Linked DNA regions of Mus musculus: regions 1 and 2 are each reported to be linked to region 3. Evidence: microRNA targets listed by miRTarBase, many of them from high-throughput screens and not tested one by one. Region 3 holds a microRNA gene; each other region holds the end of a gene's coding sequence.
What was found. Region 3 holds the annotated microRNA mmu-miR-425-5p (AAUGACACGAUCACUCCCGUUGA, at 1,120-1,142, opposite strand). A microRNA usually pairs through its seed, bases 2 to 8, with sites in the 3' UTR of a target mRNA and lowers its output. Matches are read on the target gene's strand: a 7mer-m8 pairs with bases 2 to 8, a 7mer-A1 pairs with bases 2 to 7 and ends in A, and an 8mer does both.

Region 1 (3,000 bases), not on the chromosome of region 3:
AAGGAGACTGGTATCTGAATAAAATAACCATTTCTTTTACAGAAATGATCAAAATTGTAGAACGTCTGAAATTCAGAAGTATTTCTGGAGAAACAATGTTGAGACCTGCACATTAATTCCAGCCAATACTACCATGTATATTGTTTGATTCAAGTGAGTACAATTAGATCATTTCCTCACCATGGACAAAAAAAACAAAACAAAACACAAACTTCAGAATTTTATTTTAATCGGTCTCACACATGTCTGATGAAGGCCCTAACAGTTATCTGAGGTTGCACTCCTGAACCAATTCACTCTAAAATAAATTCAATGCTAATTTGAGCTACTAAACAGCTTTTTCAAGAGCTCCAAGGGACATTTCTGGAGAAGGCAAACAGAAGAGGGAGAGCTGCATCCTGACTGCAATACAATGCTGCAGTTTTCAAGACTAAGTAAGAACCAGTTCTGTTATCTATTCGTAGTGAAGGAAGCCACTAGCAAAGATATCCTTATTCATACAGGGCTACGAAAATTCCAGTGCATGTGTAAAACAGTGTGAAGATGTGCCCTGCTCTATGAGCGGGTAAGCCAGACTCTTCTGGGCAAAGAGGGGAGAAAGACATTAAACCCTAAAATCAAATTATCATCTTTTACCCAAAAAGTGAAATCAACCAATGATGATTCATGAAAATGGACAAGTTTTATTTTCTTTTTAAATATAAAAATAAAAATAGTGGCTCACTCATAGATAACTCTCACGACACCCATTAGAGAGAGATAATTTCAAAATATTGTTAGGATATGTCTCAATGACATATTATTCTTATATATAGCAGCTCAAATATTTTATCAGACTTGTCCATGGTAAAAAAAACACAGTAAAACCTTTTTTATCAACGATTTTAAGAGCCCATTGATAACTAATCCATTTTCCAAAGGTAAAATGTAATTTAAAATGTAGTAAAATGAGTAAGGATACATTTTAAAGAATTAAACCTCAATTGTTTGATGAAAAGTCTAATGTTCTTTATTTACTACCCATTACAAATGTTTACTGAATAAAGACGAATTTCATTATATGTAATTCTTTAAGTGGCAGTTCATCAACCCTCAGAATAAAATGTCATCCCTAAATCCAAGTGGCCCAGATCGTGAAGTTCACAGGCGAATTGACTCTCTGCTAGAATCAAGAAGCTTTTCATTCAGAACAAATTCTTTATGACATATGTAGGGCAATGTAGCAGTCATTGTAGATTCTACTGAATTACGGTAAAGTGCTGAGTGATTACCTGAATCTTTTTCATTTCCACTTATCTTCTCTTAAGTCAAAGGAGCCCTTTCTGCAGCATTAACAAATCTACAACAGGAAAAAAAACGGGGGGGGGGGGGGGGACCTGGGAGGAGGGAGGTGGAAGGGAGGGGAAGAGGAGAACAGAAGGAGGCGCTTTCATTAAGGGGACAGAAATCACTGTGCAATCTCTTGTGTTTAATAGGGTGACAAATAATTGAGATAAAGTAATTCATGCACGTTATCTTTAACAGATATACATAAACCTGAAGCAAGAAAGAAAGAACACTGTTACTGACCTCTGGTCCTATGGCAGTACACCGCATACTAAAATACCGTAATTATCTTAGATGCCTAGGGCTGGCTTGGCAAGCATCATGCCACTGACATGCTCTAGCCTCTTTGTAACTAAAAGTGGTCTGCAGTTCATGACTGAGAGCTCAATGTGAGTCGTTAGGCTGTGTGATAACGTCTGAGGTTAAACGGAAGCAGATTCGATACACCTAGTCACACCATCAGCACAAGCAGGACGACGCCGGAGACGACGCTGGAGCGGTATGAAAGGCAGTTCACTCTACAAAGGTCTTCCTTTACTGCACGCTAGCCTAAGATGACAGACCTAAATTTCAACTGGGTTAATGACTTGTAATAGATTTGTTTCCCAAATTTAGCATACAAAATTTTCTGTGGACTGAAGAAAGAAACCTCAGATGTGAAAAAATAAAGCAAAACCAAAACATAAAATTTTAAAAAGCTTGAGCTCGAACAGCTTACCGGCAACTCTAGAAAGCGACATGCTCTGAGAGTACGTTTGTGAAATGGACTCCGGAACGGAACGTAAGGAAACAGTGTTTTGAGTTGAAGTTGACCAACTGCTGCATAGAGAATATGCCAACACACAACAGTCCCAGTTTAAGCCGGTGCATAGAGAAGATAAAGCACTTATGGTAACTGCAAATGGTAAACAAGTCCATAAGGTTTATGACTTAGCATGGACCCAACGGTTCAGGGAACACTGTAGCAGAAATGGTTTGGGAGAAAAAGTGGAAACAGGCAAAACTTGAAGACAGAAGTGGGAGCCAGGGGAGGATGACTTCCAATTGTATAAAATTCACATACTAGTAAAATATAGACATCACTGAAAAACAGTTAACTCTGTCCCAAACACCCAACAGCAAACAAAATCAGAATGGCCTTTGGCAGACAATTTTAGAAATTTGAATATGACATGACATTTCTCAATAATTCACAACAATATATTATACGGTATATTTATATTAAACACTGGGAAACCAACCCTGCACATTTGATGCTTACAATGCTTTAGCCAATGGGAGCAATGATATCAAGCTAATGGATGCTGGTGTTATCACAACAGTGCTCATTACAACTGTTCCCACTCCGTGCTTTAACGGTGCTGAAGCACAATCAAATTATCATCTATGAAGTGAAACAAAGGTCTCTAGCTTTTCTGGGATGTTCCCTTTGTAATAGATTCTATGATTCACGATGACACGAGCAGCAAGACACTGCAATGTGGTATGATTTATGGGCTGTATCAAATTTTTAGCTATCTCCTTCTCGTCCAGCAAGTCACTGGCAGTCTGTTTGTGTAAGTTTGTGGCATCAAAATGTGCACCTGATTTAATAAGGAGATTCATGATGTCTGGATGGTTATTCAGAGCCGCGATATGTAGGGGACTGTTGTCATCAGAGTCTCTGACATTCAC
Region 2 (3,000 bases), not on the chromosome of region 3:
ATGCACTTCACAAGCGACCGGAGACCTCCACAACCCCAGGGCCCTTTGTGACCTAGCGGCCTTTCAGGGGTGCTGCTTCTTAAAGACAGGGTTTCTTTTTGTCTTTGAGCAATGGGAGTTTGAAACCAGTTTTTGGGTTTACCAATTGTTAGCATTTATCAATTGACTGGTTACTTTTCTCTGTGACAAAAAGATTGGGTCCTGGGCTGGGCCGTGGAAGGCAGAGACAGGTGGATCTCTGTGATTTGAGTCCAGCCAGGGCTACACAGAAAAACCCTGTCTTGAGAAAACAAGAAATGATTGGGTCCTTTCTATTCCTTCAGAAGAGGGAAGGAAACTTTAGGGAGACCTTGGTCTTGTTCCATTTCCTCAGCTGCTCCAGGTTATGTGTGGCCGAGACTGGCCTTGAGCTCAGCAATCCTGCTGTTTCAGTGCTGGGGCTTCCAGCATGAGCTGCCACACCCTGGCGCCTTTAATGTTCTTTTCCCTCCAATTTGAGGAATCAGATCATTGAGTGTGTGAATGTGTGGGGTTGAAGCGCAGGCCTGGACTGAAGTTAGAATACATTGGAAATTCTCACTTTGGAAAAGCTCTGACCAAAGCTGAGAGAAAAAGACTGCAGAACATTTCAGTGCATGCTTTTCCTGATGTGGACACAAAGCGGGTGGTTTTATGAGAACCATCCCTGGCAGTAGTGAACACCATCCAGTCTGTCCTGCAAAACTGGAACAGAGTGTGGACGCCTTCCTTTCCCTGTTGAGAAGTAGTTTTCACTCAGTCAAGTTTTGAAGAATGGAAGTAAATAGCAAATTCCTCTGTGCGTGTGTGTGTGTGTGTGTGAGAGAGAGAGAGAGAGAGAGAGTTTTGCATGTTTGAGCCTGGTGTCCACTAAGGTCAGGACTGGAACTGGGGCCACCACATGGGTGTTGGGAACCAAACCCCAGTCCTCTGGAAGAGCAGCAGATGATCTTAACTGCTGAGCCATCTCTGCAGGCCCTGGATGTTAGAGTTTTGTGCTTTTAGCTAGTGTGGTCCGGACTTAGTATGTACACGCATGTTTGTGTGTACATCCATGCACGCGTGCAAGTAAGCACCTGCAGAGGGCAAAAGAGTATTGAATTTGGAGCAAGGGTTACAGGCAGGTGTCAGCTGGGAGCCAAGCTTGGGTCCTCTGCTCAAGAGCAGCAAGCGAGCCCTGTCACTCACTCACTCACTCACTTGAGCATCAGCTGAGGAAGAAACTCATCCTTAGCTATCCTAAGCCACATTCTAGACTACAGTCCCAGCAATGAGAAGGAGATGAAGGTAAGCCAGCCTTATGCTCATGGCTGGTCTCTCTCTCTGCTACTCCCCTAGCCATACCCTAAATGTATTCTATACTATACCTGGTACCTCAGGGGGAAGGGATGCCAGCATGGGTCCACAGAGGCACCTCCTTCCCCCAAACCTTCCTCTGATACCAAACATATCCACCAAAACATATCCTCCCCCCCTTTTCCTAAGACATTTTACTTTTTTTATTTAAGTAAAATATAATCCCATCATTTATCTCATCCCTTTTCTTTCCCCTACACCTCACCTCTTGTCTCCACCCCCACCCCCCCAAGTTTACAGGTTCCTTATTTTAACTATTTTTGTGACATATACATATAAATGAATCAACATGACCTGCACTCCGGTGTGGGATGTATCTAGAGCTCTCTCTCTTGAACCCAGATGAACCGCCATGTGAAGGAAAACACAATACAAACTTAGTTCAGAAATGACAGTAACCCAATCTCTTGGCTCAGGGCAGCAACTAAAATCCTAATCTTCTAAGCCTTATTAAATCTAAATCCTTTGGTGGTGAATCTATTATTCAGATCTGCTATTGAAGCCAGGAGACACTGGTAGCTACATCTTGCTCTCATACTATCCCTGTCCAAAAGGTCGGTCTCTTTCTCTATCTCACAACAGCATCTTTCTATACCGGGTACCCCTTCAAGTTTGTTTTTCCTAATAGTCCACTGGGGTCCTCTGCTTACTCAGCAGATCAGGAAGGTTGGCTGTGAGGATGGTGTTGATTCTAAGGCCCTGACTCTTGAAGCTTTGGCAGCACATCAGCAATATAGCTGGTGTGTGTCCCAACCCATGCTTCCATGACTCCAGACCAAGCTTGTGCTGAGGATGCTCAGCCAGAGCTCAGGTCTTGGTGGAGGGTGATCCCTAGGCAACCTTGCTAGGAGAGGAGGCAGGCACTTAGGTATGCAGAGGTCTGAGGAGCTGACTCTGTATCCCCTTTATTTTCCAAGCTGACACCTTCCAACTCACCTTTGCTGGTGCCAATTCAAATGCCGCTTGTCCTGCAGGCACCAGGTCCACTGTTGCCCACCTGATTCCCTGTCTCTTCTCTTTGTCAGTGCTCCTGGAGACTACTAAAGAAAGGTCTTCCTGCCCCCCACCCCCCAAGGCATCCCAGCCCCAACAATTCCAGCACAAGCTAACAGTTGCAGCATGTTTATTAACACAGGGATATCAGAGAGACTGATAGAGAGGTTAAATAGTTTGTCCAGAATTCCCCTTGCGTTACAGAGAGCTGGAGGGCTCCTGACACTAACTCAAAGAAACTCTGTGAGAGTAAGTAAGTCCTCATTGCTCTATCCATGGTGATCAGAGCCAATGACAAAGACCCGAAGTTTTTGAATGCAGAGAGTCCAGTCACTAGCCAAGGTGAGCAGTATGGAAGGTGGCAGTGCACTGCATGGTCAGTACCTTGGTTCTCTGGATGATCTAGACTTTATGGTGTGTGCTTAAAGTTAGCTGGGTCACTTGCCCACAAATTTGGGAGCTCGTTTCTCCCTGAAGGCTGCCATTCCTTCCAGCCTGTCCTGGGTTGGGATGTTCTGCAAAGATACAATGGATATTAGTTTGGGAGGAATAGGACCAGAGGCCAAAAAAAGGCCATTGCATAAGTAGATCTAACCTCTGACAACATCTGGGTCATTGTGAGCCTCAGACACT
Region 3 (3,184 bases):
CCAAGGCGCCCGGTCGCCATGGCGACCGGAAGACTAAATGGAACAGGAAGTAAGTTATCCGTAGAGCTTCCGGGAGGTCCGCCTGGCGGGGGCGGGGATCCGGCCGTGGACTCTCCTGAATGGACCAGAGCGATCGAGCATGCCAAGTGAGCTTACATTCTACCCACGCCTCCAGCTCTCCCTCCCGATGGCCTTTCCTGTATTCATGAGCCCTAACCTCCAAATTTGAGGGTCCATTTTTCCTCCTTTTTAAAAAAATCGTCACCCCGAATTATTACTTTGATAACGGATCTTTGTTACCAGGCAAGACACTTTGCCACCAAAGTTTCACATCTTTGTGTTTATGTCTCTTTTTTCTTTTTCTGCCCCATTTAAACAAATTAAAGGCCAGACGCACGAGACGAAATGTCAAAGGAATAAGGCTGTACCATTAATGACACTTTGTTTTTCAAGACAGGGTTTCACTGTGTAGCCATGGCTGTCCTGGAACTCTTTGTAGACCAGAAAGTCCTTGAACTCAGAAATCCACCTGCCTCTGCCTCCTGAGTACTGGGATTAAAGGTGTGTGCCACCACTCGTGTCTTCCATTAAAGACTCTTTACCGCCTACTTGGAAAAGTAACGAAACAAAGCAAAATTTGAGTTCTGATTATTGGTACGCCTTTCCTCGGCTGCGGTATGGAATGTCTTTATTCCCAGTAAAAGCCCAATCGGATAGAATTGCCCATCTTGATACCCGAGGAATTAGTCATCATGATTCCAGGATTACCAGCCTTTAATGTTTTTCCTTTAAACTGGTGTTACCGGCACCTTTGGTTCTTTAGGCAACTGGTCAGTTTAAGACAAATGTGATGATGAGAAGACCCAAATAAGCAGAGCTCTCAGGTAGAGCAAGCTGCAGGTGAGCTTTTCTATGTCCAAACTCTTTCGTTTCCAAGTAACGTGAAACTCCACTTCCCCCAGTAATGAATGAATCCAACCGGTGAACTTTGCTCCGGAGAGGAGTGACATCTAGAGATAGGAAAAGTTCGGGAAGGCCGGGGCTATGAGGCCCTGTTTGGGAGGTGCCGAAAGAGCACTGGGCGGACACGACATTCCCGATGGCTTCTTGGGTGCCCACTCAACGGGAGTGATCGTGTCATTCCAAAGCACTTTCCATGCTGTGGTGTGGGTTCAGCTGCTAGCAGGGCTGGGACCCACCAGCAAGTTGGTGATTTTAGCTACTCTCCCTCCATGAAGACGGTTGGGGTGGGTTTTCCCCAGGAAGTGAAGATCTATCTTTAGCGAGCTGCGGGCTGGGCGGCCTTGTGGGACTCACCGCCATTGCGGCCCTTCAGAGAGAGGACCCAGGACCTCCCTGGTCAGAGTTCTCCAGGGATTCCAGACAGGGCCATCAGCCCGAGCTTTTTTCGTCGCCTCTGACTGCCACCATCAGTCTGGGGGTGCACCTGAGAGATGGAGATCAGAATGGCCCAGTAGTGTAGTGTTTCTGAGAATAGAGACCACATTATCTGGGCCAGGGCGCTGCTCAGGCAGGAGAGCAGGGAACGAAATCCAAGTGCAGCTGGAATGCTCTGGAGACAACAGCTGCTTTTGGGATTCCGTTGCCCGCTGTCCAGCCATTGGAGGAGGGCTCTTGCTCCCAGGTCACTCGCCCTGAGGCCAAACCGGAACCCGCCCATCCCTTCCCAGTGGGCTGAGTAGGAAGGAGTAGGTGTTTTAAACCAGTCTAGTGAGAATGAGACGCTCACCTGGGCCCCAGAACAATAGAAGGTGGGGGCATCCCCCGGGACGAGGTCCTGATCCGGATTAGATCAGAAGGGCTGGATTAGCCCTGTGAGTCCCAAGCAGGAGCCACTTGTACCGGGCAGGCTTCGGAATCCGTCAAGAGGGAAGCGATTCCGTGAGACCCGAGAGGAAGTAAACCCATGTGTCCACTTCTGGGACTCCCCAAAGCTTAGGACCTTTTGTCTGGTGACGGTGCCAGCTCATGAAGTGCCAGGGGCCAAACTGGCCCACATAGCAGCGGCAGGACAGCCTCCCCCCAAGCCCATTGCAACCGGCCCTGCAAAGAACCCCACAGCCAAGCCCCATTTGTGTCAAGCATCCCACCCGTCTAGTCCAGCGGATAGAGAACGCGACAAAGTTCCTCTGAGGCCAGGACAGAACCGGTGCGCAGAGATGCCCATGCCGCGGGACGCCAAGGACTCATGCGCCAGTAGGCCCTAGACTCAGCTCAAGACAGGGGGAGGGAGACTCTCGGTACGCGCGCGCAGAGCGCGCAAGGGCGGGGTGGTGCTCCAGGCGCGGTCTACTTCACGTCTGGTCCGGTTTGGCCCAGTCAGTCCCACTCGAACAGCTACTCCAGCACTGCCACGGCGTGCCCTTCCGCTGGCTCTAGCTGTCCCCAGACTTGGAGCCATTTTAAGGAGAAACCATCTGGCCACACCCCCTCGCGCTGCCGGGAAGCCAATCCATGCTCGGCCACGCCTCTCATGGAGCGCTGCGCCGTCGCCAACGGTCGCGCTGGTGACGGTTGGGGAAAGCAGCGATTTCGAGACTAGCTAGGGAAATTTTAGCCATCTGCCCCGCCCCCGGAGCCCGATTCTCCAAAGCCTGGGATTAAGGGCCTGGAGGCTGGCACCACACCCTGGCCAGGTGTTCATAACAGGACCAGGTGCGCAGCTGCCCCGCCCTGGTCCCTGGGAGCCCGAATAATGGCTGAGAATCCCAGGAACAGGCCGCGGCAGTGGCCTAAACAATACCCTTAGGGCGCCCGTACTAGCAGGTGTTTTTCCCCCTCCTCCTTAGGGACTGTCGCTGGAGGCATGGGGCGGGGTGGGCGACAGGTGCTGACACACCCGCATGGGGAGACAGAGGCTCTGCATTGGCCTACTGCGCCGTTCAAGGTGCGCGGTGCCCTCCGGGACGCAAGGGGCGCTGTGGCTACTTTGAGACAGACAACTCTGTCCCTACGACCGGGTCGTTAAGCGCCGTTGCAGCCATGGCTACTGCTCTAGGATTTCGCTGCCTTTTCCGAACGCGACCTGCGCCGCTCTGTCGGCACGTCGACCGGCTGTGGTGAGCATCCCCTGTCCAGCCTCTGACCACTTGGCCTCGGACCTTTCAATCCCGCATAGTCCGGCCGGGCCACGACTTCCTGACTTTAGCCCTCCGCAGGAGGA

Region 1: the mRNA of Fem1c is a reported target of mmu-miR-425-5p. Seed matches in the 3' UTR shown: 7mer-A1 at 2,493-2,499.
Region 2: miRTarBase lists Echdc2 as a target of mmu-miR-425-5p. The part of its 3' UTR that is shown has no 7-base or 8-base seed match.

The regions. Positions count from the first base shown.
Region 1 is chr18:46,502,374-46,505,373 of GRCm38, forward strand. It overlaps Fem1c (fem 1 homolog c), which reads right to left. Exons shown (of 3, transcript NM_173423.4): 3 at 2,233-3,000. The coding sequence ends at 2,707. Among named protein-coding and RNA genes, the nearest start is that of Fem1c, 22 kb to the right of the region's middle.
Region 2 is chr4:108,178,789-108,181,788 of GRCm38, reverse strand. It overlaps Echdc2 (enoyl Coenzyme A hydratase domain containing 2), which reads right to left. Exons shown (of 10, transcript NM_026728.4): 10 at 2,481-2,882. The coding sequence ends at 2,805. It also overlaps a transcript of Zyg11a not described here. Among named protein-coding and RNA genes, the nearest start is that of Echdc2, 15 kb to the right of the region's middle.
Region 3 is chr9:108,566,747-108,569,930 of GRCm38, reverse strand. Mir425 (microRNA 425) reads right to left here and starts at 1,154; the gene lies at 1,070-1,154. It overlaps Ndufaf3 (NADH:ubiquinone oxidoreductase complex assembly factor 3), which reads left to right and starts at 2,495. Exons shown (of 5, transcript NM_023247.2): 1 at 2,495-3,080; 2 at 3,180-3,184. The coding sequence starts at 3,004. It overlaps Mir191 (microRNA 191), which reads right to left and starts at 1,612; the gene lies at 1,539-1,612. It overlaps Dalrd3 (DALR anticodon binding domain containing 3), which reads right to left and starts at 39. Exons shown (of 12, transcript NM_026378.3): 1 at 1-39. The coding sequence starts at 20.